7 linked regions of the Macaca fascicularis genome follow. The protein of the gene in region 1 purifies or fractionates together with the protein of each later gene. This does not show direct contact. Links are inferred from orthologs where the notes say so. Each region holds a gene or a part of one and is shown in the gene's direction. Other genes may lie near its edges. The genes, in order: PPP2R1A, TIPRL, CEP43, LIMD1, CTTNBP2, IER5 and ANKLE2.

What was found.
Region 2: the proteins of PPP2R1A (region 1) and TIPRL purify together in Homo sapiens (affinity purification with mass spectrometry; 3 studies listed by BioGRID and IntAct, with this or other methods). This does not show direct contact. The link is inferred for Macaca fascicularis from reciprocal best matches to the Homo sapiens genes PPP2R1A and TIPRL.
Region 3: the proteins of PPP2R1A (region 1) and CEP43 purify together in Homo sapiens (affinity purification with mass spectrometry; 5 studies listed by BioGRID and IntAct, with this or other methods). This does not show direct contact. The link is inferred for Macaca fascicularis from reciprocal best matches to the Homo sapiens genes PPP2R1A and CEP43.
Region 4: the proteins of PPP2R1A (region 1) and LIMD1 purify together in Homo sapiens (affinity purification with mass spectrometry; 4 studies listed by BioGRID and IntAct, with this or other methods). This does not show direct contact. The link is inferred for Macaca fascicularis from reciprocal best matches to the Homo sapiens genes PPP2R1A and LIMD1.
Region 5: the proteins of PPP2R1A (region 1) and CTTNBP2 purify together in Homo sapiens (affinity purification with mass spectrometry; 3 studies listed by BioGRID and IntAct, with this or other methods). This does not show direct contact. The link is inferred for Macaca fascicularis from reciprocal best matches to the Homo sapiens genes PPP2R1A and CTTNBP2.
Region 6: the proteins of PPP2R1A (region 1) and IER5 purify together in Homo sapiens (affinity purification with mass spectrometry; 3 studies listed by BioGRID and IntAct, with this or other methods). This does not show direct contact. The link is inferred for Macaca fascicularis from reciprocal best matches to the Homo sapiens genes PPP2R1A and IER5.
Region 7: the proteins of PPP2R1A (region 1) and ANKLE2 purify together in Homo sapiens (affinity purification with mass spectrometry; 7 studies listed by BioGRID and IntAct, with this or other methods). This does not show direct contact. The link is inferred for Macaca fascicularis from reciprocal best matches to the Homo sapiens genes PPP2R1A and ANKLE2.

Annotation. Positions count from the first base shown.
Region 1 is NC_088393.1:59,992,718-59,996,217, forward strand, and holds the end of PPP2R1A (serine/threonine-protein phosphatase 2A 65 kDa regulatory subunit A alpha isoform), read left to right. Parts: intron 1-2,470; coding exon 2,471-2,562; intron 2,563-2,730; coding exon 2,731-2,747; 3' UTR 2,748-3,185; downstream 3,186-3,500. UniProt on the Homo sapiens protein: The PR65 subunit of protein phosphatase 2A serves as a scaffolding molecule to coordinate the assembly of the catalytic subunit and a variable regulatory B subunit.
Region 2 is NC_088375.1:25,846,214-25,849,713, forward strand, and holds part of TIPRL (TIP41-like protein), read left to right. Parts: intron 1-2,363; coding exon 2,364-2,543; intron 2,544-3,247; coding exon 3,248-3,347; intron 3,348-3,500. UniProt on the Homo sapiens protein: May be a allosteric regulator of serine/threonine-protein phosphatase 2A (PP2A). Isoform 1 inhibits catalytic activity of the PP2A(D) core complex in vitro. The PP2A(C):TIPRL complex does not show phosphatase activity.
Region 3 is NC_088378.1:4,055,244-4,058,743, reverse strand, and holds part of CEP43 (centrosomal protein 43), read left to right. Parts: intron 1-125; coding exon 126-238; intron 239-1,876; coding exon 1,877-1,945; intron 1,946-3,199; exon of another isoform or gene 3,200-3,325; intron 3,326-3,500. UniProt on the Homo sapiens protein: Required for anchoring microtubules to the centrosomes. Required for ciliation.
Region 4 is NC_088376.1:108,578,012-108,581,511, forward strand, and holds part of LIMD1 (LIM domain-containing protein 1), read left to right. Parts: intron 1-354; coding exon 355-485; intron 486-1,124; coding exon 1,125-1,176; intron 1,177-2,006; coding exon 2,007-2,075; intron 2,076-3,500. UniProt on the Homo sapiens protein: Adapter or scaffold protein which participates in the assembly of numerous protein complexes and is involved in several cellular processes such as cell fate determination, cytoskeletal organization, repression of gene transcription, cell-cell adhesion, cell differentiation, proliferation and migration.
Region 5 is NC_088377.1:159,231,777-159,235,276, reverse strand, and holds part of CTTNBP2 (cortactin-binding protein 2), read left to right. Parts: intron 1-410; coding exon 411-2,064; intron 2,065-3,500. UniProt on the Homo sapiens protein: Regulates the dendritic spine distribution of CTTN/cortactin in hippocampal neurons, and thus controls dendritic spinogenesis and dendritic spine maintenance.
Region 6 is NC_088375.1:38,576,677-38,580,641, forward strand, and holds IER5 (immediate early response gene 5 protein), read left to right. Parts: upstream 1-1,323; 5' UTR 1,324-1,529; coding exon 1,530-2,513; 3' UTR 2,514-3,465; downstream 3,466-3,965. UniProt on the Homo sapiens protein: Plays a role as a transcription factor. Mediates positive transcriptional regulation of several chaperone genes during the heat shock response in a HSF1-dependent manner. Mediates negative transcriptional regulation of CDC25B expression.
Region 7 is NC_088385.1:139,880,680-139,884,729, reverse strand, and holds the start of ANKLE2 (ankyrin repeat and LEM domain-containing protein 2), read left to right. Parts: upstream 1-1,250; 5' UTR 1,251-1,284; coding exon 1,285-1,465; intron 1,466-4,050. UniProt on the Homo sapiens protein: Involved in mitotic nuclear envelope reassembly by promoting dephosphorylation of BAF/BANF1 during mitotic exit.

The DNA of each region.
Region 1 (3,500 bases):
GCCTCGCCTCAATGCATAAACAAATTAATTTGAGATGACAGACCAGAACCAGAAAGATTTAAAAAATAAAACATCTAGAAGAAAATGTAGGAAAATATCTTCATGAGTTAGCGTAGGCACAGCAAACCAGAGGAATTGATGGGTAAGTTGACCTTCTGTAAAATGTAGCACTATTTCTCAAAAGACAGCATTTTGAGAGTAAAATGCAAGCCCTTGACTGGAGGAAGATGTCTGCAATGTATGTTTCTGAGAAAGGACTCATCCACAATACCTGTCTACAAACCAGGCAGGGCAAGAAAGAGATGGGAAAAAAGACTTGAATCGGCACTTGAAAAAGGATCTCCACATAGCTTGTAAGCATATGACAAGGTGTTCAGCATCATCAGCCTTCAGGAAAGTGCAAATTAAAGCTCAGTGACATATCACTACACACCTCCCAGAACAGCCAATATTAAAAAAGACTCAATGGTGCAAATGTTGAAGACATAGAGCTGGAACTCTCATCCGTTGCACGTGAGGCTGTGTATTTAGGGTTTGATCACTCTGAAAACGGGAGTGGAACTGGAGTGGAATTTGGTGAAGCTTGTTATACAAACACCCTGTGAAACAGCCCTTCCACTCCTGGGTCTCTATCCAGGAGAAATGAGTGCTGTTTCTGTCCGAAGAATGTTCATGGTAGCTTTATTCATAGTAGCCATAAAAACAGAAAAAACCTCCATGTCTGCCCACAGTAGAGCAGATAAATTTTAGTTCATTCATACAGTGGAAAACTATTCAGCAGTGAAAAATCAAATGCCTGCTGTAGGCGGCAACACAGGTGGCTCTCACAGATACCATGTTGAGTGAGGAGCCAAACCCAAGAAAACACACCATTTATGTCAAGTTCAGAAACAGGCAGAATGAAAGAATCGAGATGATGGAAGTAAGAATAGTGGTTATTTGGGGAGAACAGGGAGCTGTCAAGTGAAAGTGGGGGACCCACAAAGCCTGCACTTTTGATTTCTGTCTGAATCTGTTCCAGGACACAACCTCAGCTTTAGTTTCTCTCCGAAGTCCTCCTCCATTTCCCAAAACAATTGACTCGGTGCAGGCGGAGTTCCCTGGGCCCCATAGATGAGAGTGGTTGCCTCCTCTGGGCTCCTGGAGGACCAGAAACTTTCCCTTGGGACCACTTACCACTCCCTTCTTACGTAGCAGTTTGGTCTCTGTCTTGCTCCTGGCCCGGATGCCTCATGGCAAGAAAAAGTGATTTAGCTCCGTATTCATTCCATATACATTGTAGGCCTCAGTGAATATGTGTGAAATCAATGAAAGATACCCATTTGTTGGGCCTCAGAGACTTGGGAGTTCTGTGATTCTGTTCTACTTTCCCAGCCTGCTCTGATCTCCCTGTTTGGGGCCCCAGAGAAGTCTGTTGTTGTTTGTCATACTTCTGACTTTTAAAGTAATTGGTTGGTTGGTTGGTTGGTTTTTTTGCAGTTTGTTTGGTTTTCCTTTGAGACAGAATCTCACTCTGTCGCCCAGGCTGGAGTGCAGTGGTGCAATCTCGGCTCACTGCAACGTCTGCCTCCTGGGTTCAGGCAGTTTTTGTGTCTCAGCCTCTTAAGTTGCTGGGATTACAGGTGTGCACCACCATGCTTGGCTAATTTTTGTACTTTCAGTAGAGACGGGGGTTTTGCCATGTTGTCTAGGCTGGTCTTGAACTCCTGGCCTCAAGTGGTCTGCCCACCTTGGCCTCCCAAAGTGCTAGGATTGCAGGCATGAGCCACCGCACCTGGCCTTGATTTTACTTTTTTTTTTTTTTGAGACGGAGTTTCACTCTTGTTGCCCAGGTTGGAATGCAATGACGCAATCTTGGCTCACCACAACCTCCACCTCCCAGGTTCCAGCGATTCTCCTGCCTCAGTCTCCCAAGTAGCTAGGATCACAGGCGTGCACCACCACACCCTACTAATTTTGTATTTTTAGTAGAGACAGGGTTTTTCCATGTTGGCCAGGCTGGTCTCAAACTCCCGACCTCAGATGATCCACCCACCTTGGGCTCCCAAAGTGCTGGGATTACAGATGTGAGCCACCATGCCAGGCCTGATTTTACTTTTAATATACACATAATTATACATATTTATGGGGGTATAGTAGTGTTTTGATAATGTGTGCAAATGTGTAATGATCAAATTAGGATGATTAGCATATCTATCACCTTAAATGTTTACCGTTTCTTTGTAATGAGAACATTCAAAATCTTCTCTTATAGCTGTTTTGAAATATGCAAAATATTATTGTTAACTATGGTCACCTTCCTGTGCATTGAGCGGAGATTTCTCATTCCTGTGTATGTCCTGGATTCTTGAGACTCCTCTCACCTTGGGTTTGGTGTATCCATGTCTGTGTATACCCTCTTGCTCAAGAGCCCTGTGCCCACCTGTTGCCCCAGTACGCTCCCTTTCTCTGTCTCCTTTTCGCTTTCCAGCACCCTGCAGAGTGAAGTCAAGCCCATCCTAGAGAAGCTGACCCAGGACCAGGATGTGGACGTCAAATACTTTGCCCAGGAGGCTCTGACTGGTAAGACCTAGAAAGCAGGGAGCCCTAGCAGGAGGGTGGACTTTTGAGGACAGGTGCTAGGCTGTCCTTTGAGAACAAGGTCGCAGCTTCTGGGAGGGGGAGGTACCATGGCATTGTGGGCAGAGAGAGGGCTGTGGTTCTGATTCTTGCCTGTTCCTGTTTTCCTAGTTCTGTCTCTCGCCTGATGCTGGAAGAGGAGCAAACACTGGCCTCTAGTGTCCACCTCCAACCCCCACAAGTCCCTCTTTGGAGAGACACTGGGGGGCCTTTGGCTGTCACTCCCTGTGCATGGTCTGACCCCAGGCCCCTTCCCCCAGCACGGTTCCTCCTCTCCCCAGCCTGGGAAGATGTCTCACTGTCCACTTCCCAGTGGGCTGGGGGAGCACGGGGTTGGACAGGACAGCGACCCTGGGAGGAAGGGGCTACTCCGCCCACGTCGGGGAGAGATGTGAGCATCCCGGGTCACTGGATCCTGCTGCTGTAATGGGAACCCCTCCCCCATTTACTTCACCTCCCATCCTTCCCCTCATTGGTTTTTTTTTTGTGTGTCAACTGTGCCATTTTTATTTTATTCCTTTTATTTTCCCCCTTTTCACAGAGAAATAAAGGTCTAGAAGTAGTCAGTCCTCTGGCCTTAGTCATCAGCATGGAGGAGGGGACACCACCCCAGAGTCATAACATCTGCCCTTTTCTCTGGAGAAGATCTTGTTACAGGACCCATTATACCCCTATGTCCCGAGAGAATTCTCTGGGGATCCCCCGAGGAGTGCTGCTGGCCTGTGGAGCAGAGGGTCCACGAGGTGCTCTGGCTGCTGTCCTGTAGTGCAGTTCAGTTTCATAGATGTTGGCCGAGTATTTTGGGGGTTAAGAGCAGGTGCCTTGGAACCAGACTACCTGGGTCCAAATTTTGGCTCCTTCAGTTAATAGACGTGTGACTA
Region 2 (3,500 bases), on another chromosome or scaffold:
TTGGGAAGTGGATGTTGCAGTGAGCTGAGATCATGCCACTGCACTCCAGCTTGGATGATAGAGTGAGACTCTGTCCCCTCCACTGAAAAAAAAAAAAAAGCTGCCTTTTTTATATGACAAAAGGAAGACTTACCCTCACCAATCCTAAATTTTTCTGTGATGCATTACCATAGATTGTAAAAACCGCTAAGGTGCTAAATAAATTGATTGGGTAAATTATTGGATTAAAGAAACTCCCTTTAATGAATATTTAAGGCACCTTAAAACCAGAGGAGCTTCCTGTCTTCTCTCCTTATAACTGGTTATACCTGTTTTTAAGAGGGAAACTTGATGTTAGAAATAGGGCATTTTCAGTCCTGGCACTGTGGCTCACGCCTGTAATCCCAACATTTTGGGAGGCCAAGGCAGGTGGATCACCTGAGGTCAGGAGTTTGAGACCAGTCTGGCCAACATGATGAAACCCTGTCTCTACTAAAAATACAAAAATTAGCCGGGCGTGGTGACACGTGCCTGTAATCCCAGCTACTAGAGGGACTGAGACAGGAGGATTACTTGAATCTGGGAGGCAGAGGTTGCAGTGAGCCGAGATCATGCCATTGCACTCCAGCCTGGGCAAAAGAGCAAGACTCCATCTCAAAAAAAAAGAAAAAAGAAATAGGGCATTTTGGCCTGTGTTTAAGAAACTCTATATTTAGAACATTGAAGGACTGTAAATTAGTAACAGTGATTCTTTTACATATATGAGTGGAATATTTTATAGGACTGCCAGATTTTTCCAGATGTATTGGGTAGAACCCACAGACTCACGTATTATTTCACATTTGGTATGCATTATTCAAGTTAAAACTTATTTTATGGAATCTTATGTAATATATATTCCAATTACAGTTTATTGTATCTAATCTTTTAAGTATTTAATATTTTCTATCTCCTAATAACAAAGAATAAATTTTACTTAAAATTATGATGAAAGGTAACATTGTTAGGTATCATCCTGAAGACCTGTACCTCAAAAAGTTAGATCACTGATATGTGCACACAGAAATACACATATAGATGTAAAAAATATACAATGTGTATACAGCACTTTGGGAGGCTGTGGCGGGCGGATCACCTGAGGTCAGGAGTTCAAGATTATCCAAAATAGTCTCTACTAAAAATACAAAACTTAGCTGAGCATGGTGGCAGATGCCTGTAATCCCAGCTACGAGGGAGGCTGAGGCAAGAGAATCACTTGAACCTGGGAGGCGGAGGTTGCAGTGAGCCGAGATCTTGCCACTGCACTCCAACCTGGGGTGACAGAGTAAGACCTTGTCTCAAAAACAAACAAACAAAAAACAGTGTTAAGCTTTGTTTAAAGACTTGAAGTCAGTAGAAAGGAATGCTTAAGAAAAGGGGGCCTACTGTCTGTCTTGTGATGCTATACCAGTCAGGTTGGAAAGTAAGGCACATTATACCATTGCACATAAAAAACCATTTAATGAGATTTTATGGTTTGTCGGGCATGACTTAATCCTTGCCTTGCGTGGCCATAGGTCTTGTTTATCATACGCATTTTGATCATACTATTTTATCATAAGCATTTTTCCATATTATTATATTCTCTCTTTAAACATTTGTAATGGTTCCGTAATATTTCATCATATGGATATACTTTGGTTTCCATAATCATTTATTGCTTTATAATGAAACATTCAGAGTATTTCTTTTTCACGATTATAAGTAAAGCCATTGTAAGTATTAATGTGTATAGTTTTTTTCTGTACTTGGAATTGTTCTTTAGTACAGATATCCTAAAACTGATACTTTGGGTCAAAGTGTGTAGATTTTATTAAATTCCTGTTATTTTTTGCTTGATTGTTGCACCAGGGTGAAATGTAAATTGACACAATCCTTCTGAAAGTCTGTATAGGCAAGTGCTGGGTTCCCTCATCAGTATCAGGTGCTTTTGCTTTTTTCATCACCACTTTTTGAAACTTACAACAATTGAAAATTTTAGTGGAAAAATTATTTTCCTACAAGGGACAGTATCTTTATTTGCTTTGCTATCTTCTCTTCATACCTTCATGATATATATTATAGTAATATCTGTGTGCTATATATTATAGTAATATAATAAGCTATTATATCTGTGTTTGTATATTATCTTATTTAGCCCACTACCTAGTACAGTGCCATAAGATATGATAACGAAAGAATGGATGATGAAAGCATTTTGTAGACCTTGCAAATATATCATATTGATTAAATCATACGCTGTGTAACTCATTCAGCAATGTAGGAAGAATTCTCTGGGTTGGAAAAGAAACAAAAATGCCAACAGCGATATAAAATTATCTCACATGACTTTTGGTTATGTATAGATTAGCCGATGAATTACATATGCCATCTCTCCCTGAAATGATGTTTGGAGACAACGTTTTAAGAATCCAGCATGGCTCTGGCTTTGGAATTGAGTTCAATGCTACAGATGCATTAAGATGTGTAAACAACTACCAAGGAATGCTTAAAGTGGCCTGTGCTGAAGAGTGGCAAGAAAGCAGGTGAGAATCTGGTCAATTAGGTTAAACAAAAAATATAATTAGGTTAAACAAAAGAGAAAGACTTGAAAAAATATTCAGTAATGATACGTGTGTGTCGTTAGAATGAAGAACTGGTATTATTAAACATGAGAGTTGTATCATTCTAGAATTCATTTTTCTGAGACATAAAAATGGAAGTTAATTACCCCACTACTTGAATTCTTATTAAAGTGAATTACAACTGAGCTGAGCTATGTACTTTTTCAATTCTTCAGCATTCCTTATTGAAGAGGCAGTAGGCTATATTTAATGTTCCTGTTTTTCAAGAAAAATGTTTACTTATGATATGCTTAATAAATATCCTATTTGAGAAGCATTGAAATTAAGACAGCATGTTTTTCTTTGATAGTCAAATCAGCAATTATTTACTTTGTGCCTAATATGTACTAAGTACCTTAGATGATACAAAGAAGTATAAACCTTTAAACCGTGTCCTCAGGCAGTGTACAGACTAATTGAAAAGACTACATCAGTACATGACAAGTTAAAGAACGATAAATGTAGAAAAACTGTAAGAAAAACCTTGTACTGGTGAATTATAACAAGTGTATATATTTAATAGGATATTTTATGTTATTGTAGAATATAATTGGATGTGATATATAAATACAGATAATCTCTATTCTGCATCACTGAATCTGATCCTTCTCATTTTGGTATTTGAGGACGGAGGGTGAACACTCCAAAGAGGTTATTAAACCATACGATTGGACCTATACAACAGATTATAAGGGAACCTTACTTGGAGAATCTCTTAAGTTAAAGGTAAATCTTACTTTTTTCTTTTATGAGTCATTAATTGTCTTGGACAGTCTGAGCATTAGAACTTTCTAGTAACGGGTTATTTTTCGCAACTACTTTTATTGTCCTTGTTTTCTGTTGTGGCATCCCTCAGAACGTAATGTGAGGGGGTTTTGC
Region 3 (3,500 bases), on another chromosome or scaffold:
ATTCTTGATTTCCAGCCACTGTGCATATAAAGTATCTTTTAAGTTGCTTTTGTTTCAGTGGCAGGATAAAAGTGTTTAGTGGCAGAACATAAGAGCACCGATTAACTGTCCTTGTTTCTTGCTAGGAGGAGTGAACCTAGGAAGCAACCAGGAAGCCTGGCCTCGCTCTCGGATGCACCCCCCTTAAAAAGTGGACTCAGCTCCCTGGCGGGGGCCCCTTCCTTAAAAGACTCTGAGAGTAAGTGCCCAAAGATGTGGGCTTGAATACTCGGGATATTTTTTCTCTAATTAAGCACTATATGATTATTGTTGATTTTTTTTTTCCAGGAAAATCACTAAAATAACCTATAATTTTATCACTCAGAAATCTTTCCTGTTAATATTTTGTTACTTCTTATGTGGTCATATTTTATATGTTGTTTTGTATTCTGCCCCTTCCTATACCTACATACCATCGGAATACTTTTTAGTTGATTTTTTAGCTGATTTGTATTATCTATAGAAATATAATTTTTAAATCATCTCTCCTTTTTTGGACATTTACAGTGACTTGAGTCGGATTTGCTTTCAATTAATTTTAAAAAATTTGTTTAGTGATACCACAGTAAGTATCATAAAATGTTAAATAAAAAATTATTCTGCAGATCATTTTCAAGAATGACCTGACATGTCATCGTAAATGCAGCAGAGCTAAAGAGCACTGATTACATGTGGAATAGTCTAGCTCTGGCACTAGTTACTTTCCCACCTCTCCCCACACAGTGATAGGAATTTAAACAGCATAGCCCTGAACAGGTAGGATGGGCAGAGGTCCTTTGGAAACCATATAATAGTAAATGTTGTATTTAATTAGCGTAGTGTTTCAGAGCTTCGTGTACCTCTTTTGGAAAGTTTCCAAAAGTAGATTCACTAGGAATTTGCAGTATGAGTTTTGCATAATTGTCCAGTACTTCCGAATCTTTTTGTATTGCTTGATATACTGTGGGACTTCCTAGGGCACATAAGAGAGCCGACCTCTTTCTTCTCTTAAACCAGCCATGTATTTATAAGGTTCGTATCCCTTCCCATTTGCTTCTTTGGTTACTGCCACCTTTAAGAAAGGAATCCAGGACATCATGAACGTGTCATTCTGACACTGATTAGAGAATGATCATTTAGAGAGGACGTTGAGAACGAAGGACCAAAAACCAGTGAGGATTGTCACTTTAGTAAATGAAATAGCAGTTGCATTGAAGAAAAATTTAGAAGTTCAAAGGAAAAATAAGATTCATGAAAATAATTAACAGTAGTCTATGAATTCATACCTAACAGGGCTGTTTATGGAAAGTGATGTCTTATAATTAGGCAAAAATATTTTTTGGTGGTTGTGTTCCAATAAAGTAGTATTGTTTATGGTTTAAAAAGGGTTGTAGCCGGGCGCAGTGGCTCATGCCTTTAAACCTAGCACTTTGGGACGCCAAGGCGGGTGGATCACAAGGTCAGGAGTTTGAAACCAGCCTATCTAACATAGGGAAACCCTGTCTCTACTAAAAATACAAAAATTAGTCGGGTGTGGTAGCACGTGCCTGTAGTCCCAGCTACTTAGGAGGCTGAGGCGGGAGAATCGCTTGAACCTGGGAGGCGGAGGTTGCAGTGAGCCAAGGCTGCGCCATTGCACTCCAGCTTGAGTGACAGAGTGAGACTCCGTCTCAAAAAAAGGGTTGTAATGCATAGTTTAAGCATTCATTAATCACAGTTTATTTTTTCCTTAGTTTTAGGTTATTATGCTCCTGTCATAAAGAAGCCCCCATATTGAACAACAACAAAAATTGATGTGGTTTAGAGACTGTTGTATTCTAAAAGTCACTCTAATGCTAGTATTTTTTCCTGTTCACAGGTAAAAGGGGAAATACGGTTTTGAAAGATCTGAAATTGATCAGTGATAAAATTGGATCACTTGGATTAGGTAACTAGATTTCCAGTTTTTGTGTTGATCGTTTTAAAGTGATTATTTTTAGGGTAAGGTTGTAAAAGAAGTGACTCAGTCTGCCTACGCTGAACACCTTCCTGCCGCTGCTCATTCAGCAGGTGTTTGAATGGCTTTTACGTGTTCAGGATTACACCCTATACGAGAGATGGCTACAGCAACAGCCATCATGTCCTCATGAACCTCTGTCTTCATGGAGTTTGAATTCTGGTCAGGAATATGGACATTAAACGGGCATCTACAGATAATTTTGAGTGTAAAAGGGTCAGTATATATTTGTATGGAAATGGCTAGTAGGTTACCTTTGTCCAGTCTTGGCATTCAGGGAAGACCTTTTATAAGAAGTGACTTCTGTGCAGAAGCTTCATGGTTAAGTAGATGTATAAGAGAGAAGGGAAGATATTTCAGTTCAGATAGAAAAATTTGTGCAGAGGCAGAGCCATTTGCTAGATGCTGGTAGTACATGGTCCAGGCCTCAGAGAATTCAGTCTAATGGGGAAACAGACTTATTGAAAGAAAAATTGTGAGATGTGTTCAGTTCTGTTCTATGGAGCAGAAGTTGGTAAGCCTGCCATGTAAGTACGTTCATTCCTATGGAAGTAAGAGTGTCAGTGTGAACATTACCGAGCCCTGCACCATATGCTGAGAGCACAGTTCTCATTGAGTGTTCTGTTGTGTACAAGACTGTAGCAGGGTGACAGGCATACTTTAGGCAGACTCATTTATGTAAAGGCAAACTTGCTGACCTGAAGGAATCGGTGCAGCCAGCTTCTCGATGGCCACTTCCTATGCTCTCTGTGGATGTGATGGCATCGCTTCCTGGTCTGTAATCACTCACACATGGAAGCATTGGAAGACAGCTGCACAGGCAGGTTGGGGAGAAAGACAGCTGTGTCCCGTGTGCTTTTAAAACCCAGCCCTGTCCGAGGGGCAGCTCCGAGAACGCCCTTCCCTCTTCTGGAGAGACATTTTGGATAGTGCAAAGAACTTGGGCTTGGAGTTGGATGGAAGTGACATCTCAGATGTGGCACTGATTGATGGGTAGCGTAGGGAGATAAACTAAACTGCTACTTCCTCATCTGTTAAGTGGAACTAGTAACATCTGCCTTGTTTTAAAGAATAAATAGGATTTAAATATCTCTTCATACGTAAATTAAAGTACAGTGCCTGGCATGGTAGGTGCCTAGTAAATGTTAGTTTTCTTTTTATGTTACTTTGTTCCCCCATTTGCAGAAGAATAAATGTTCCCTGAGCCGCCTGGATTCTTGTTCACACAGTGCCCTGGAGTCCTGGTAACTGAGTTGCTGGTTGTGCTGCCCTCTGCTCTTTGTGCGTCCTGGTTGCTGGCTGGCCAGCTAGGTGGGCCTGCCCCCTTTCCCTCCCTTGTGCTTTTCCTGTCAGCTGTGGTTGTGGTTGCCATTAGATGTTCTTTTCCACTCGACCTCAATGGCTAACTGCCACTGGAGACTTTACTCCTGACTTCTGCACTGTGATGGCTGCCCTGTCCCCTTTGTGTTCTGTTTTTTTTCACTTT
Region 4 (3,500 bases), on another chromosome or scaffold:
TTTTGGCCCTGGGATTGGCCCATCCCTCCCTTAGCATCTCTTTCTATTAAAGAACTGTGCAAGAGTTTCCTGCTCTGGGTGAGGGTTGGAAAGGAGCCCTCTTTCCCTCCCAGCTCAGAGACCCTGTGAGAGGCTGCAGGAAAAAGATTCTTAGGTGGTCTCTTCTGTGTATTCATCTAAACAGATTTGCCTTTCCCACCCCATCACCTCTTGCTCTTCTCCTAGGTGAAACTCGGGGGTAAGTGTACTCCGTGTGTGACCACTCATGTAATCCTTAGGACTGATGTATTTCTCTGCCCTTCCACCATTCCATCCTTCCCTATAATCCCCACTGAGTCTTGGCCTCTCCTCCAGATCCTGCAAGCCCTGGGGAAGTCCTACCACCCCGGCTGTTTCCGCTGTGTCGTCTGTAATGAGTGTTTGGATGGGGTGCCCTTCACCGTGGACTCGGAGAACAAGATCTACTGTGTCCGAGATTACCACAAGTAAGAAGGGACGGGAGCAGACGGGACCCATTCGTGTAGGCCAAGCTGATCTCAGCAGAGTGAGCGGTGGAAACCAACAGAACTGTGTTTGCCAGCTGCCCTTAGATCACAGTCCAGCAAAGGCTTAATGGTTTTGAGGGGTGCAGTAGGGATCTTGGGAGGTTGGTCAATGCCAGTGTTGACAGGAATGGGTTAAAGAATCATGTTTAGTGAGAAAAACAAAAACAGAGCACAAAAAACTAATAATCGTATTCCTGGCTAGGCCTCGGGAGGAATCCACCAAGCCCTGTGGCTTCAGCGTTACCTAACTTCACAAGGCCCCTATGCAGTGCTGGTTCCCACCAGTCTTGGTTTGCCTGGGCCTGTGCTAGGCACCATGAGGGGTGTAAACAAATAGGTTAGTGCTGTCCCCAGAAGAGTGAGAGGCAGCCAGTGTCCTCATTGCAGCTGGGGAACAGATACTAAGGCATATTCCACAAAGTGAGCCAGGTTCCAGACATTCTATGAGGGAGGAGAGCAAAGGGCAGGAGGCAGCATGGAGGAAGGCTCCATGTGGATTCCAAGTGCAAGTCTGACTCTGGGCTTTGCTCCCAGAAACAACACAGTGTGCATTTACTGCTGCTTTGTTTCTCCCCGCAGGGTGCTGGCCCCCAAGTGTGCAGCCTGTGGGCTTCCCATCCTTCCACCTGAGGTAAGATGCCTTTCCAGACATGCTCCCAGGGGCTTCTAAAACATGAATATCTCCCTGGGCTCATTTACAAGATCCATGTCCTGTCCTTACATCTTTTAAGGTATCCTTTTAAAAATCTCAACTCTGGCCTGGTGCAGTGGCTCACGCCTGTAATCCCACCACTTTAGGAGGCCTAGGCAGGCAGGAAAATTGCTTGAGGCCTAGAGTTTAAGAACAGCCTGGGCAACATAGCAAGACCTCATCTCTACAGAAAATTGTTAAAAATTAGCCAAGCGTGGTGGCATGTGCCTGTAGTCCTAGCTGCTTGAGCCTAAGAGTTTGAGACTGCAGTGAGCTATGATGGTGCTACTGCATTCCAGCGGGTGACAGAGCAAGACCTTGTCTCCAAAAAAAAAAAAAAAAAACTCACCTTTGAGAGAAGTCACGTCCTCACCCCTCCTTGTTGACGGGCTTCCCCGCCCCAGTACCCTTCTTGTGCTGGTTTGTCCCCAGGATCAGGTCAAACTCCCTTACCTGATGACTAATTCTTAGATTAGCAGATGAGCAGAAAGACTTGTCTTTTATTCATTTTTTAAAATAAGTGTCCATGTAGGTCTTTCTTTCAGTGTTGACTCCAGCATTCCAGAAGGAAGGGCTCCTGTCCCTCCCACTTTCCCTCTCATCAGCTTAAATGTATTCTTTTTCCAACAAGTACTCCTGTTTACCTTCTCCTCCCAAGGCCACCTACTTGTTACCCCAACACCCTCTTCCCTCCCCACCCTGTGGTACATCAAACCCAACAGGCCCCTAACAGGTCTCTCGGGCGTGTTCTTGCTTTTCTTTGGTCCCAGGGCTCAGATGAGACCATCCGTGTCGTGTCCATGGACAGAGACTACCACGTGGAGTGTTACCACTGCGAGGTAGGCCCCTCCCCACCCGGCCCCCAGAGCCCATTGTAGACATCCAAGAGAAGAGCATCCTGCGTTGACTGGGGCAAGAGGCGGTCAACAAGATTCTGGCAAGGTTCAGCCCTCTAGAACTTCTGTAGGAAATGGAGTGAAGGCTAGTTCTTGGGGGAGGTAGGAGAAGATGGAAATGCTCGAGGTATAAAGCTCTTTCTTTTGCACATTCAGAACTATCAAGGCCTGCAACTGTCAGACCTACTATCCCTGAAGCTGCAGAGCTAGGAGGGTGGTGGAGAGCATGGGTTTCAGGTGCTGTCTGGGGGCCACATTGTCAGGCAGGTGTGCGATGTGGGGAAGGGACACCCTCCCCTCCAGCTTGTAGGCTGTTCTGTCTTCCAGAAGCCTGTTTCTCAGCCAAGCCCTGGAAATCAGGAAACCCCTCCTGGAAACAGGCATGTCAGCTGGTGGTGTGAAGGCAGGTGGGGTCCGCTTGCCCCTTCCTGCCCTGTGTCCCAGGATGAAGCAGCACTAGTACCTGATGACTGTTAGGAAAGCTAGGGATCGCCCCTCACCAGCCCCTGTGAAGGGTGACCATGAAATTTCAGCCACAATTAAGTGAATTCACCCATGGAAGGAGATTAGATTCATTTGGTGACCTTGTGAGTAGAGAACAGGGGTGTCCCTCATGTAGACTTGTCCCACTGCCAACACTGAAGAAATGGGTGGGAATCATTGCTGCGGGACCCCAGGTGCCCCAGGTCACTGCAGGAGAAAAAGGTGAGGACATTTGCTCAACAGGCCTCTCCACATTTTCTAGACCAGTGCTATCCAAAAGAAACATAAGGGGTCGGGCGCGATGGCTCACGCCTGCAATCCCAGCACTTTGGGAGGCCAAGGCTGGCAGATCACTTGAGGTCAGGAGTTCAAGACCAGCCTGGCCAACATGGCAAAATCCCATCTCTACTAAAAATGCAAAAATTAGTGGACATGGTGGCACACACCTGTAGTCCCAGCTACTCGGGAAGCTGAGACAGGAGAATTGCTTGAACCTGAGAGGTGGAGGTTGCAGTGACCTGAGATTGTGCTACTGTACTCCAGCCTGGGCAACAGAGTGAGACTCCATCTCAAAAAAAGAAGGAAATATGAGAGCAACAAATTAAAGTCATGGTATCATTTTAAGTTTTCTGGTAGCCACAATTAAAAAGTTAAAAGAAACAGGTGAGATTAATTATTTTATTCAGTTCAAAATATCCAGCCAGGCATGGGCCCGTGCCTGTAATCTTAGCACTTTGGAAGACCAAGACAGGGGGATCACTTGAGCCCAGGAGTTTGAGAACAGCATGGGCAACACAGTGAGACCCCGTCTCTACTAAAAATACAAAAATTAGCCAGGCATGCTGTGCCTATAGTCTCAGCTACTTAGGAAGCTAGGATCACGTC
Region 5 (3,500 bases), on another chromosome or scaffold:
CTTTTCATGATACTTTACCTCAGAGATTAATTATTTTAAAGCATTAAACCTTTTTTAAAAATATCACCAGTTCCATCACAGAGCTGTGTTTTTACAAAAATAGATCTTTCTGATCCCTGTGATTTAAAGCATCTGGTTATTGTTCTGTTTTTCTGTAGTTAACTTCAGTAGACTTTAAAAATTCTCTGTTGTTGTAATTTAGATGTTTTTATAAAGCCATTTACATCTATTTTCTCATTTTAATGGGCCTTTAAAATATTTCTTATCACAACACTTTTTGAAAATGTGGCGTTTTTGCTAACCCGAATATGTCATTGTTAGAAAATTAATAAAAATCTCACAAAAAGCATTTCCTTGGTGAAAAGAAAATTCTGTATATTAATCAGGATTTTCCTGTGAATTTCTTTCAGCTGGAAATGGAGAAGCTTCAGCTACAAGCCCTTGAGCAAGAGCACAAGAAGCTGGCCGCCCGCCTCGAGGAAGAGCGCGGCAAGAACAAGCAGGTGGTCCTGATGCTGGTCAAAGAGTGCAAGCAGCTCTCCGGCAAGGTCATAGAGGAGGCCCAGAAGCTCGAAGACATAATGGCCAAACTGGAAGAGGAAAAGAAAAAGACAAATGAATTAGAAGAAGAACTCTCTGCTGAGAAACGAAGAAGCACAGAAATGGAAGCTCAGATGGAAAAACAGCTCTCTGAGTTTGACACCGAGCGGGAACAGCTTCGTGCCAAGCTGAACCGGGAAGAAGCACACACAACTGACCTCAAAGAGGAGATAGACAAGATGAAGAAAATGATTGAGCAACTGAAAAGGGGAAGTGACAGTAAACCAAGCCTCTCTCTTCCACGGAAGACAAAAGATAGGCGTTTGGTTTCCATATCTGTGGGAACAGAAGGAACTGTGACAAGGTCTGTTGCATGCCAGACAGACCTAGTGACAGAAAGTGCTGACCATGTGAAAAAGTTGCCTTTAACCATGCCTGTAAAACCTTCCACAGGGAGCCCCCTAGTTTCTGCAAATGCAAAAGGGAGCGTGTGCACTAGTGCCACAATGGCCAGACCAGGTATTGACAGGCAGGCTTCCCACGGTGACTTGATTGGCTCTTCTGTACCCGCTTTCCCACCTCCAAGTGCAAACAGAATTGAGGAAAATGGACCAAGCACTGACTCAACACCAGATCCAACCAGTAGCACACCCCCACTTCCCAGTAATGCTGCCCCTCCCACCACTCAGACACCAGGCATAGCTCCTCAGAACTCCCAGGCTCCACCTATGCACAGTTTACATTCACCATGTGCCAACGCCTCTTTGCATCCAGGTCTAAACCCACGAATCCAAGCAGCTAGATTTAGATTTCAGGGCAATGCTAACGACCCAGACCAAAATGGAAATACTACCCAAAGTCCTCCGTCAAGAGATATGTCACCTACAAGTCGTGACAACCTAGTGGCCAAACAACTAGCTCGGAATACTGTGACCCAAGCACTGTCAAGATTTACAAGCCCTCAAGCAGGTGCTCCCTCAAGGCCTGGAGCGCCCCCAACAGGGGATGTTGGCACTCACCCTCCAGTCGGTCGGACCAGTTTAAAGACTCACGGTGTTGCACGAGTTGACAGAGGAAATCCTCCTCCTATCCCTCCAAAAAAGCCAGGGCTCTCCCAAACTCCTTCTCCACCACACCCCCAACTCAAGGTTATTATAGACAGCAGCAGGGCCTCGAACACAGGGGCCAAAGTTGATAACAAAACTGTGGCTTCGCCTCCTTCCAGTTTGCCACAAGGGAACAGGGTGACCAATGAGGACAACCTTCCTAAGTCATCCTCCCCTCAGCTGCCACCAAAACCATCCATAGATTTAACTGTGGCACCTGCAGGCTGTACCGTTTCAGCCCTGGCCACATCTCAGGTGGGTGCCTGGCCTGCTGCAACCCCCGGACTGAACCAACCTGCATGTTCAGACAGTTCCCTTGTCATTCCTACCACCATTGCCTTTTGCTCTTCCATAAACCCCGTTAGTGCCTCATCCTGTAGACCAGGTGCCTCAGACAGCCTCCTGGTAACAGCATCAGGTAAAGGGATCGAACTGTTATACCCTTTTTAAAGAATATGGCCTCTCTTCTCACTTGCCTTGATTTTCTTCACATTGCCTTGAAACTTTTTTTTAAATTTTATGCTTCCCCCACCCCCACCCATTTCTTTTCTCTCTCTCTCTCTCTTTTTTTTGTTTTTTGTTTTTTGTTTTTTGATTTTTGTTTGTTTGTTTTTAAAAGCTCCAGGGTATGGTGATTCATCTTGCTATATGAATTGCGGTTTCACTATGCTAAGTGCTTTCTTCTTTTAAAATAACCTGAAAGTAGTGGCTTAAAGCACATGGAGACCATTAATTTAGAGAGACTAAAGTATTTACATGGGAGAAAAGAGTATTCCTTCTTATTAAATATTTATCTCGCAAGACCTCAGTGGGTCATCATCAGACAGTACATGTTTAATTCTGTTCCTTCTGAGATGATATTTTTAAAGGCCTTTCAAGTAATTATTAACACTATATTGGATTACCAAATTGACTAGATTTGTTCTGTAATTGGTATATTTTAAGTTCTAATATCAGTTTGGTGTTTAGAGGTTTTTTTTGTTGTTTTCTTTTTTACCCTCAGAAATGGAGTGTGAATATTTATAAATCTGTTCTAAGTTTATTTCTAAAAGCTATGTACCCTATTTAGTGCTGCCGTCTTCCAGCACTTGGGCACAGATGGTTAACATAGCATGTGGGCTATGTTACAGAAGGTTTCCATTGCAGGTGTGGCTTATGAAGTCACTGAATCTGGGACTCTTGAACAAAGAAAAGGTGGATTTTTCCTTTTTGTTATACAGTGCTAGAGAAAGCATTGCTTTTTATTGACATGACTGGATTAGTTCTTTACTAAGCAAATGTGGCTCTAAAGTAATGTTACCAAAAACACATAATTATAAATAACAAGAGACTAGATTCCAACACCCATCTGACTAACTGCAAAGTCCATGCTGTTTCCAGTTCCCAATTTTACCCCTCAAAATGTGGAAGACAAAGTTCTGTTGAAGCTTTGGAGAAGTCTCTCCTACCATGGGATCTCAGTGGTTGGTGGAGATTGTTGGTTCTAACGGGAGGAAACTTTTATAATTACAGGAAGGTTTGAATAGTTGTTATATTGAGTACTTTGAAGGGAGAGAGAGAAAAGCAAATAGCATCATATTTGCTAATTATCAGGTGATGGCAGCAGTACTTTAGGATTTATTTGTCCAACTATAAGCTATCAACTTGAAATTAAGGTCTTTGAGAGGCTTTATCCATATTTTGAGGGGCAAAATAGGGAATTGGAAGCAGCATGGACTTTGAAGTTAGATCTATGTTGAAATCTAGTCTCTGCCATTTACAGTTGTGCATTTTTGGTGACTTCTTATGCTACTCATATGGGGGAGGGTGGCTGTTAGGAGGAGCAGATCCTCTAATCTGTCAGCATAGTATTGA
Region 6 (3,965 bases), on another chromosome or scaffold:
AATAAATTCATTGCTTGGCCAATCCCTGGGGCAGGATCAGGCCCAGGGTTCCACATGGACTCCAAGAAAGCAGTGCTTAGTTTTCTCATTCAGTTTGTGGCTGAGAAGTTGTCATTTATCGTCTGTACAATAAAGCAGATGTGTATGTGACTTCCCCTTTTCAGCGGTGGAGACACTGAAGCGGTCTGAGGTTATTTACCCAGAGTCCTCAGGCAGGTCTGTGGTGGAGCTTCGGTGGAACTAACTGGAAGTGACTCCATGTTTCCAGTCCAGGACCCTGGGCAACCCTGTGGTAATTGTGCCCTGATATAAGGACCAGTAGATGGACTACATTGTTGACTGACCAGAAAATTCTGGAACTCCCTAGCGCTGTATTTTTACCTTGACACAAAATGAAATTATGACATCATCATGGGAACACAGGACTTCTTTCTTTTTATTTTCAGACCTTGCTCGATTTTTCCAAGGGTTGACTGATCAGTCCTTGTAATGGAAAAATGGAAATGGGAAAAAAATCATTGTGGAGAACCTGTAACATCTTCCATTTAACCTATTTGATAACTGGCTTTGTTCCAGAATCTAGAGAACAAAGTGAAAGATGCCGGCTTTAGAGGGCAACCAGTAACTTTGTATCTAGACACAATTCCTTGATAAGAAGCCAAGAACCTAGCCAAAAACTTTTAGAATCCCCTTTTTCTTTGGTGTTAGAACTGACAGCTGCTAAGAGTGTATGTGACTCTAGCGGGGAAAGCGGCTCATCCAAAAATAATGACAGCCAAATACTTTGCAGTAATACTATTTGTTATCCAGGGGTGTCCTCCGCCGCGTATAGCCACCATCTCTATTTTTGCCAGGGTTGAGGGGAATCGCTTACAGGTGTGGCGGGCCTGGAAATGGTGGCGTGGCCGGTTAGGGCGGAGTTGATCAGGAAAAGATCAGGACTTTATGGCAGAACAGAGTCCAACACCGTGCTCGGAAGAAAGTTCGAATATTTTGTTCGCTTTGGTTCCGGCAAGCCATCGCACAAGCCAGAATCTGTAACTCCAAACAGTAGCGCCCTCGAGCACGGTCCCGAGCACGGTCCCCAGCACGGTCCCCAACACTCACTCCCCATCGGCCTGGTCTCCGCCCGCAATCCGTCGCCCCCTTTAAGAGCTTGCTCCGCGGGACTAACGTTCGAACGGGCCTTGGCGCCCCTCCTCGGGCTCCGATTGGCCGTGCGCGGCGCACGAGGGCGCGCCGGCCAGCCCCGGAACGGTTGGCGGCCCTTCGTGATTGGCGGTCGAGGAGTCTATATAAGGCGCGGGGCGGCCGGGCTGCCCTGTTTAGCTACCGGACCCGAAACGGGGTAGTTGTCTGGTGTAGAGAGGTCTGCGGGGCAGTGAGCGCGCGTCACCGGAGTCATTTCTCTTCGGAGTCTTAGGTGATCAAGGGTGTGCCCACGGGGCGGACTTGTTTGCGCCTCCCGTTCCCTCCCAGTTTCCGAACGTAACACCCCGGCGCCGACGGCCCTGTGCAGGGGAGGCAGGATGGAGTTCAAGCTGGAGGCTCACCGAATCGTCAGCATCTCCCTGGGCAAGATCTACAACTCGCGGGTCCAGCGCGGCGGCATCAAGCTGCATAAGAACCTCCTGGTCTCGCTGGTGCTGCGCAGCGCCCGCCAGGTCTACCTGAGCGACCCGTGCCCCGGCCTCTACCTGGCCGGTCCCGCTGGGCTCCCGGCGCCGCCACCGCAGCAGCAGCCTGGGGAGCCGGCGGCCGGGCCACCCGCCGGCTGGGGAGAGCCGCCCCCGCCCGTCGCCCGTGCCTCTTGGCCGGAGACCGAGCCGCAACCGGAGCGCCCTTCCGTCTCACACGCGCCGCGGGTAGGGGACGAGGTGCCAGTGACCACGGTGACCGGAGTCGGGGACGTTCTTCAGGGCGGAGAGGCGGACGCGACGGAAGCTGCCTGGAGCCGCGTGGAGCGGCCGCGCCAGGCGGCGGCCGGAGAAGCCGAGGGTCCCGCCGGAGGCTGGGGCGTCTTCCCCGAGGGATCGCTTGCCGCGCGCCGCCCCTGCGGCTGCCCCCTAGGCGGGGAGGACCCGCCGGGTACACCGGCCGCGACCCCCCGCACTGCCTGCTGCTGCGCGCCGCGACCAGCCGAGGACGAGCCCCCCGCGCCGCCCGCAGTGTGCCCCAGGAAGCGCGGCGCGGCGGGGGTGGGCGGCGGCCCAGCGGGCTGCCCGGCGCCCGGCTCGACCCCGCTCAAGAAGCCCCGCCGGAACTTAGAGCAGCCGCCGAGTGGAGGAGAGGACGACGACGCGGAGGAGATGGAGACCGGGAACGTGGCTAACCTCATCAGCATCTTCGGTTCCAGTTTCTCGGGACTCCTACGGAAAAGCCCCGGGGGCGGCAGGGAGGAAGAGGAGGGAGAGGAGAGCGGCCCGGAAGCCGCCGAGCCCGGGCAGATCTGCTGCGATAAGCCGGTGCTGAGAGACATGAACCCCTGGAGCACAGCCATCGTGGCCTTCTGAGCCCTTGGCCCCCATGCGGGGAGGAGGTTGAGCAGCGGGCGTCCTCGAAGTGAGGGTCGGGCCCTTGCCGGCTGCGAGGACGCCCAGAGACCGCGGCCGCTGAGCGCGTTGGGCAGACTGGTTGCCGCTGGGCATCGCAAACTGCCCCCGGGCGCATCTGGCTTTTCTGGAGACCTGGGAGCTTGAGGCTCATTGGAAGAGGACGATCTTTAACTTTTTGTGTTTGTGTATGTCTGTGTATGTAAGTTTGTCTTGTGGCATTAAGACTATTTTGTTCTGGAATGCACCACTCCTTCCCCAGGGCTTAAGAGATTGGGGGCAGACAGGGACTTTCCTCTGCCGGCTGCGTGGAGAAGGAAGCGGCTAAAAGGTTTGGGCCGGGGAGTTCCCCATTCGTTCTCCGGGGAGGGAGGGACTTTACACCCACCCCTCACCGGAAAGCTAGACCCGCTTCAGGGCCAGGAGTGGCGTTTCCGCACAGGATTTCCTAAGACGAGAGGGATTTAGCCAGCAGCACAGACTTGGATTCCTTCTGTCCCTCCCCACCTTTCTCTCCCAATGAAGAAACGTTTATATCCTGTGATTACTCTAGGAAAGGGGCATATTAACCGTCCTTTGCTTCCCCGCAGGGGAGAAAAAGCTTGAACTTCACAGAAGAGTTCAAGCTTGGAAATAATGGAGTTTATAGAGAAAAGATATATTTTTAAAAGCTCTAGGTCAGAACTACTACACAGTGCTTTTAAAAAGTGTTTAATGAAAGTTTACAGACAGAAGCCCGAAGTGGAAAGACCTTATGGTTTTGTAGATATGGTGACTCCAGTCTTTGTTATATAAAGGTTGGGGGAGCTGATAAGGTTTTTGTACAGTATTTTCTCCTTCGTTGTATTGATTTTTGTATAAAAATGTAACTTCTACGTGTCTAACACGTATTAAATATTTTGAAGCAACGTAACTGCCTGCTTGTCTGCAATAACCTGCCTGGGTTGGGAGGGAAGTGGGAAGAGGGAAACCAGGGCCTGGGCTAGAAAATTGAAGGTGTGGTTCTTAATATCAGTCATTCGCAGACTGAGAACATTGTTTACTGACTCCACTAAGTATCAAGAGAGACACGTTTAATTTTTCCTCCTAGATCAGAGGAATGCTATTAGATACTAATATCAGCGACCTGCCAGGTTCTTGAAACCTACCGCTACAACTGGCTTTTCTAAGGTCGGTTTAGACCAATTTGTCACCCAATATGTGGGTGTATATTATTAAGTAATTTAACCATCAGCTTTTGAAGCCCTGCTTATCTGCAAAAATGTTTTTCAGCAAAACTTTGTTTCCTGTTAAGCTGTTAATATGGGTCATCTTTTAGCTTTGTAATTGAAAAAAAAAGTTTAGATAGTTTACCTTAAAAACCCATTCGAACTGACATAGGAAGATGAAAGAGACTGACTTGTCCAAATTGTC
Region 7 (4,050 bases), on another chromosome or scaffold:
CTATGTCGGTCAGGCTGGCATGCAGTGGCTATTCACAGGCGAGATCACGCTCACTGCAGCCTCGAACTCCCGAACTGAAACTACCCTCGCCCCTCACCCTCCAGAGTTGCTAGAACTACAGACCTGAGCCACCTCGCTCAGATCAATTATGTTTTTAACCAAGGATATCAATTGTATTTTTCAGGTCTTTCATTTTCATTTCATAATATCTAAAGTAGGCTGGGTGCGGTGGCTCACGCCTGTAATCCCAGCACTTTGGGAGGCCAATCACTTGACGTCAGGAGTTCGAGACCAGCCTGGCCAACATGATGAAACCCCCGTCTCTACTAAACATGCAAAAATTAGCCGGGTGGGGTGGCGGGCGCCTGTAATCCCAGCTACTTGGGAGGAAAGGCAGGAGAATCGCTTGAGCACAGGAGACGGAGGCTGCAGTGAGCAGAGATCGTGCCATTACACTCTAGCCTGGGTGACAGAGCAAGACTCCGCATCAAAAAAAAAAAAAAAAAAAAAAATCTAAATTGTATACAGGAAAATCCTCCTCCCTTTTTCGGGACAGGGTCTCCCAATTAGGTTGGTGCAAAAGTAACTGAGGCTTTTACCATGACTTTCAAAATATTTGCCCAGGCTTGTCTCGAACTCCTGGGCCGAGGGGATCCTCCCGCCTCGCCTCCCAAGGCGCTGGGACTCCGGACGCAGCCGCCGCGCCCGGCAAAATCCAAGCTTTCTACTGCGCGTCAGGGTCGCTTGGTGAAGAAGCGGGAAGCTCCGGGGGCCTCCCCAGCGCCGGCCGCCCGTTCTGCGGGTTCGCAGGAAAGTGAGAAGCGCCTCCTCACTCCAGCTCCAGGACGGGGCGGCGGCCGCAAACGGTCCTGGGGCCCGGAGCTCACGAACCCGGCGGAGCCCGCTTAGTTCTCGAAGAGGCGCAGCGCCCCGCGGAGGCCAGGCCCGGGAGGCAGTAAACAAGCCCCGCCCCGGCCCCCGCCCACACATTACCCTCTCCGCGCCGCGCAGTTCCCAGGACCCCGCGCCGGGCTGCCCGCGCCCCGCCTGCCGCGCCCGCCCGTCCGCTCGCCCGTCCCCGCCCGCTTGGGGTGCAGGGCCGGGGCCACCGCGGCGCCCTCGCCGGACCTTCGTGAGCGGGGCCGCCGCCCGTGTCCCCCGCGCCACCCCGGCCGCCTCTAGCGTGGCGCCGTCAGGCAGGGCGCGGGCAGCCCGGCGCGGGGTCCTGGAGCGGGCGCGGCGCAGGGTGCGGGCTCCTAGGCGGCTGCGGCCCGGGCTGCGGCGATGCTGTGGCCGCGGCTGGCGGCGGCCGAGTGGGCGGCGCTGGCTTGGGAGCTGCTGGGCGCCTCGGTGCTGCTGATCGCTGTGCGGTGGCTGGTGCGGCGGCTGGGCCCGCGGCCTGGGGGTCTGGGCCGCAGTGGGACCCCAGGCCCTCCGCCGCCCGCGGCCGCCGCCCCCGCCCCAGGTAAGGCCCAGGCGGTCGCTGGGCCCCTGCATCCCGGTCCCTTCCCCGCCCCGACGCCCTCCCCGGGACCCCGTCCTGGGCCGCGCCCCTCGAGCTCCCGGTGCCGGCAGCAGTTGGGCGAGGCCGCCGGGAGAAAGGCCATTCTTTTCTCCCAGGGCCGCTCGAGAAAGGCCATTCCGGCCGCGGAAAGGGCAGTTGCGGGGAACGCGGCTTCCCGGGGCGGGGGCGGCAGGGGCCACGCCGGGTTCGGGGATGAGAGCTTTCTGGGCTCGGGAGCGGCCTCCGGGGAAGGCGGCGGGAGCCCGGCGAGGCGTTAGCGGAGAACCTTGCTGCGGTCGATGGAGACCTGGGGAGGGATGGCCCAAGGGGGGGCGGCGCGGGTAGGAAGCCCTGGGTCCCGGATGTGTTTGGAATGTGAAACCCCTGCGGTTACTGGTCATTGAACAGGAGGCAGAGACGGAAAAGGCCTATGTGACTTAGGGGTTTGGGGCGGGAGGAAACGGGAGAAGGTGTCCATTTATTGCTTTGGGGTAGACTGTCGGGTCTGGGTGATGTGGAGAGCGGAGGTGGGTTTGGGTCATTTTAAGTTTGAGGTAACTGATACTGTGAACTGTGTGTTTCACCTCCATCCGCTTTTCATGGCATACAACTCCTGAAATCCCGGGGACCTCCAATGTGATGTCTTTTGTAGGCTGAGTGGACTGGTGGCCGGCAGCCCTTAGGGAGCTTCTGGATGGGACTGGTCGCAGGAAAGACCAAGGCTGAGTTAGAGGTTCTGGGGACTTTCAGCCCCACCCGCAACCTCCGGGGAGGGGAGAGGGCTGAAGGTTGAGCTGATCACCAATGCCTGTGAAATGAAGTTTCTGTAAAAACCCAAAAGGGCTGGGTTGAGGGAGTTTCCGGATAGTACGTGGGGATTCCTGGAGGCGGTGCCCAGAGAGGCCTTGAATTTCCAAGCCTTTCCCCCCGGTTTTACCTCACGCATCTCTTCACCTGTATTCTTTGTAATCTTTATCCTATGCTGGTAAATGTAAGTAAAACATGTCTGTGAGTTCGGGAGCCGCTCTAGCAAATTAACACAACCTGAGGAGGTTACCCGGTTACACCCAGTCGGTCCGAAGCGCAGGTCAAACAACCTGGGCACTGGAAGTGGGGGACAGTCTTGTGGGGCTGAGCCCTTAACCTGTGGGGTCTGCTGGTATGTCCAGGAAGATGCTGTCAGAATAGATGACTGAGTTAGGATGGAACTGCACAGACGACACCCAGCCTGTGTCCACTGCAGAACTGATGACCTGCGTGATTCGTGGCGAGAAAACCCCCACATATCTGGCGTCTGAAGCATGTTGCGAGAGTCTAGTGGGAGAAACTGAGTTTGTTTTTACTCTAAATTGTCAGACTGTTAGTCACTGAGAAGCGGTGCTTTCTAATGATTGAGTGGGGATTCCTGTCGGATTGTGTGAGTTTGTGTCCTGGCCCTACCCACTTTCTTTTTTTTTTTTTTTTGAAATGAAGTCTTGCTCTGTCGCCCAGGCTGGAGTGCAGTGGCAGGATCTCGGCTCACTGGAAGCTCCGCCTCCCTGGTTCAAGCGATTTTCCTGCCTCAGCCTCCGGAGTAGCTGGGATTAAACGTGAATGCCAACAAGCCCGGCTAATTTTTCTATTTTTGTTGCTGCTGTTGTTTGTTTTTTGAGACGGAGTCTCGCTCTGTCGCCCAGGCTGGAGTACAGTGGCGGGATCTGGGCTCACTGCAACCTCCGTCTCCCGGGTTCACACCATTCTCCTGCCTCAGCCTCCCGAGTAGCTGGGATTACAGGTGTGAGCCATCGCGCCCGGCCCTACCACTTACTGCTGTGGGCTTAACCTGTCTTCAGCCTGCTCATTTAGGAATAGGGATTATAGTAGTACCTAGTTAAGATTTTTTGGGAGTTGGGTAAGTGCAGCACTTGGTATGTGTTAAGCACCTCTGAGTGCTCTGTTACCGTCACCACCAGCATCATCCAAGCAGAGCTGTGGACAAGGTGGCTGGAGGTGGTGTTTTGAGAGGGGCTGAAATAAAAAAATACTGATATTACCACAAGTCAACAGAGATTTAGAGAAACTGGGTCTCGTGCATTGCGAGTGGGGATGGTAAGTGGTGCAGCTACTCTGGGAATCAGCCTGGAAGGTTTTTAGGAAGTTAAATCTGCTCTGCATTCCTGAGCTTTTATTAGAGAAATGAAAACGATTTTCACACAAAAACCCGTATTTGATGTTCATAGCAACTTTATTTGTAATTGCCAGAAACTGAAATAACTCAAATGTCCCTCTAGAGGTGGATGGTTAAACTTAAACATTGATACCCCAGGGTGCCACTCCGCAGCAGTCCACTCTGCCACGTAGGTGGATCTCAAGGGCATTATGCTGACTAGGAAAAGCCAATCTCAAAAGTTGCATACTCGGCTGGGTGCCGTGTCTCACGCCTGTAATCCCAGCACTTTGGGAGGCCGAGGCAGGTGGAACACGAGGTCAGGAGTTCAAGATCAGCCTGGCCAATGTGGTGAGGCAGTCTCTACTAAAAATACAAAAAATTAGCTGGGCGTGGTGGC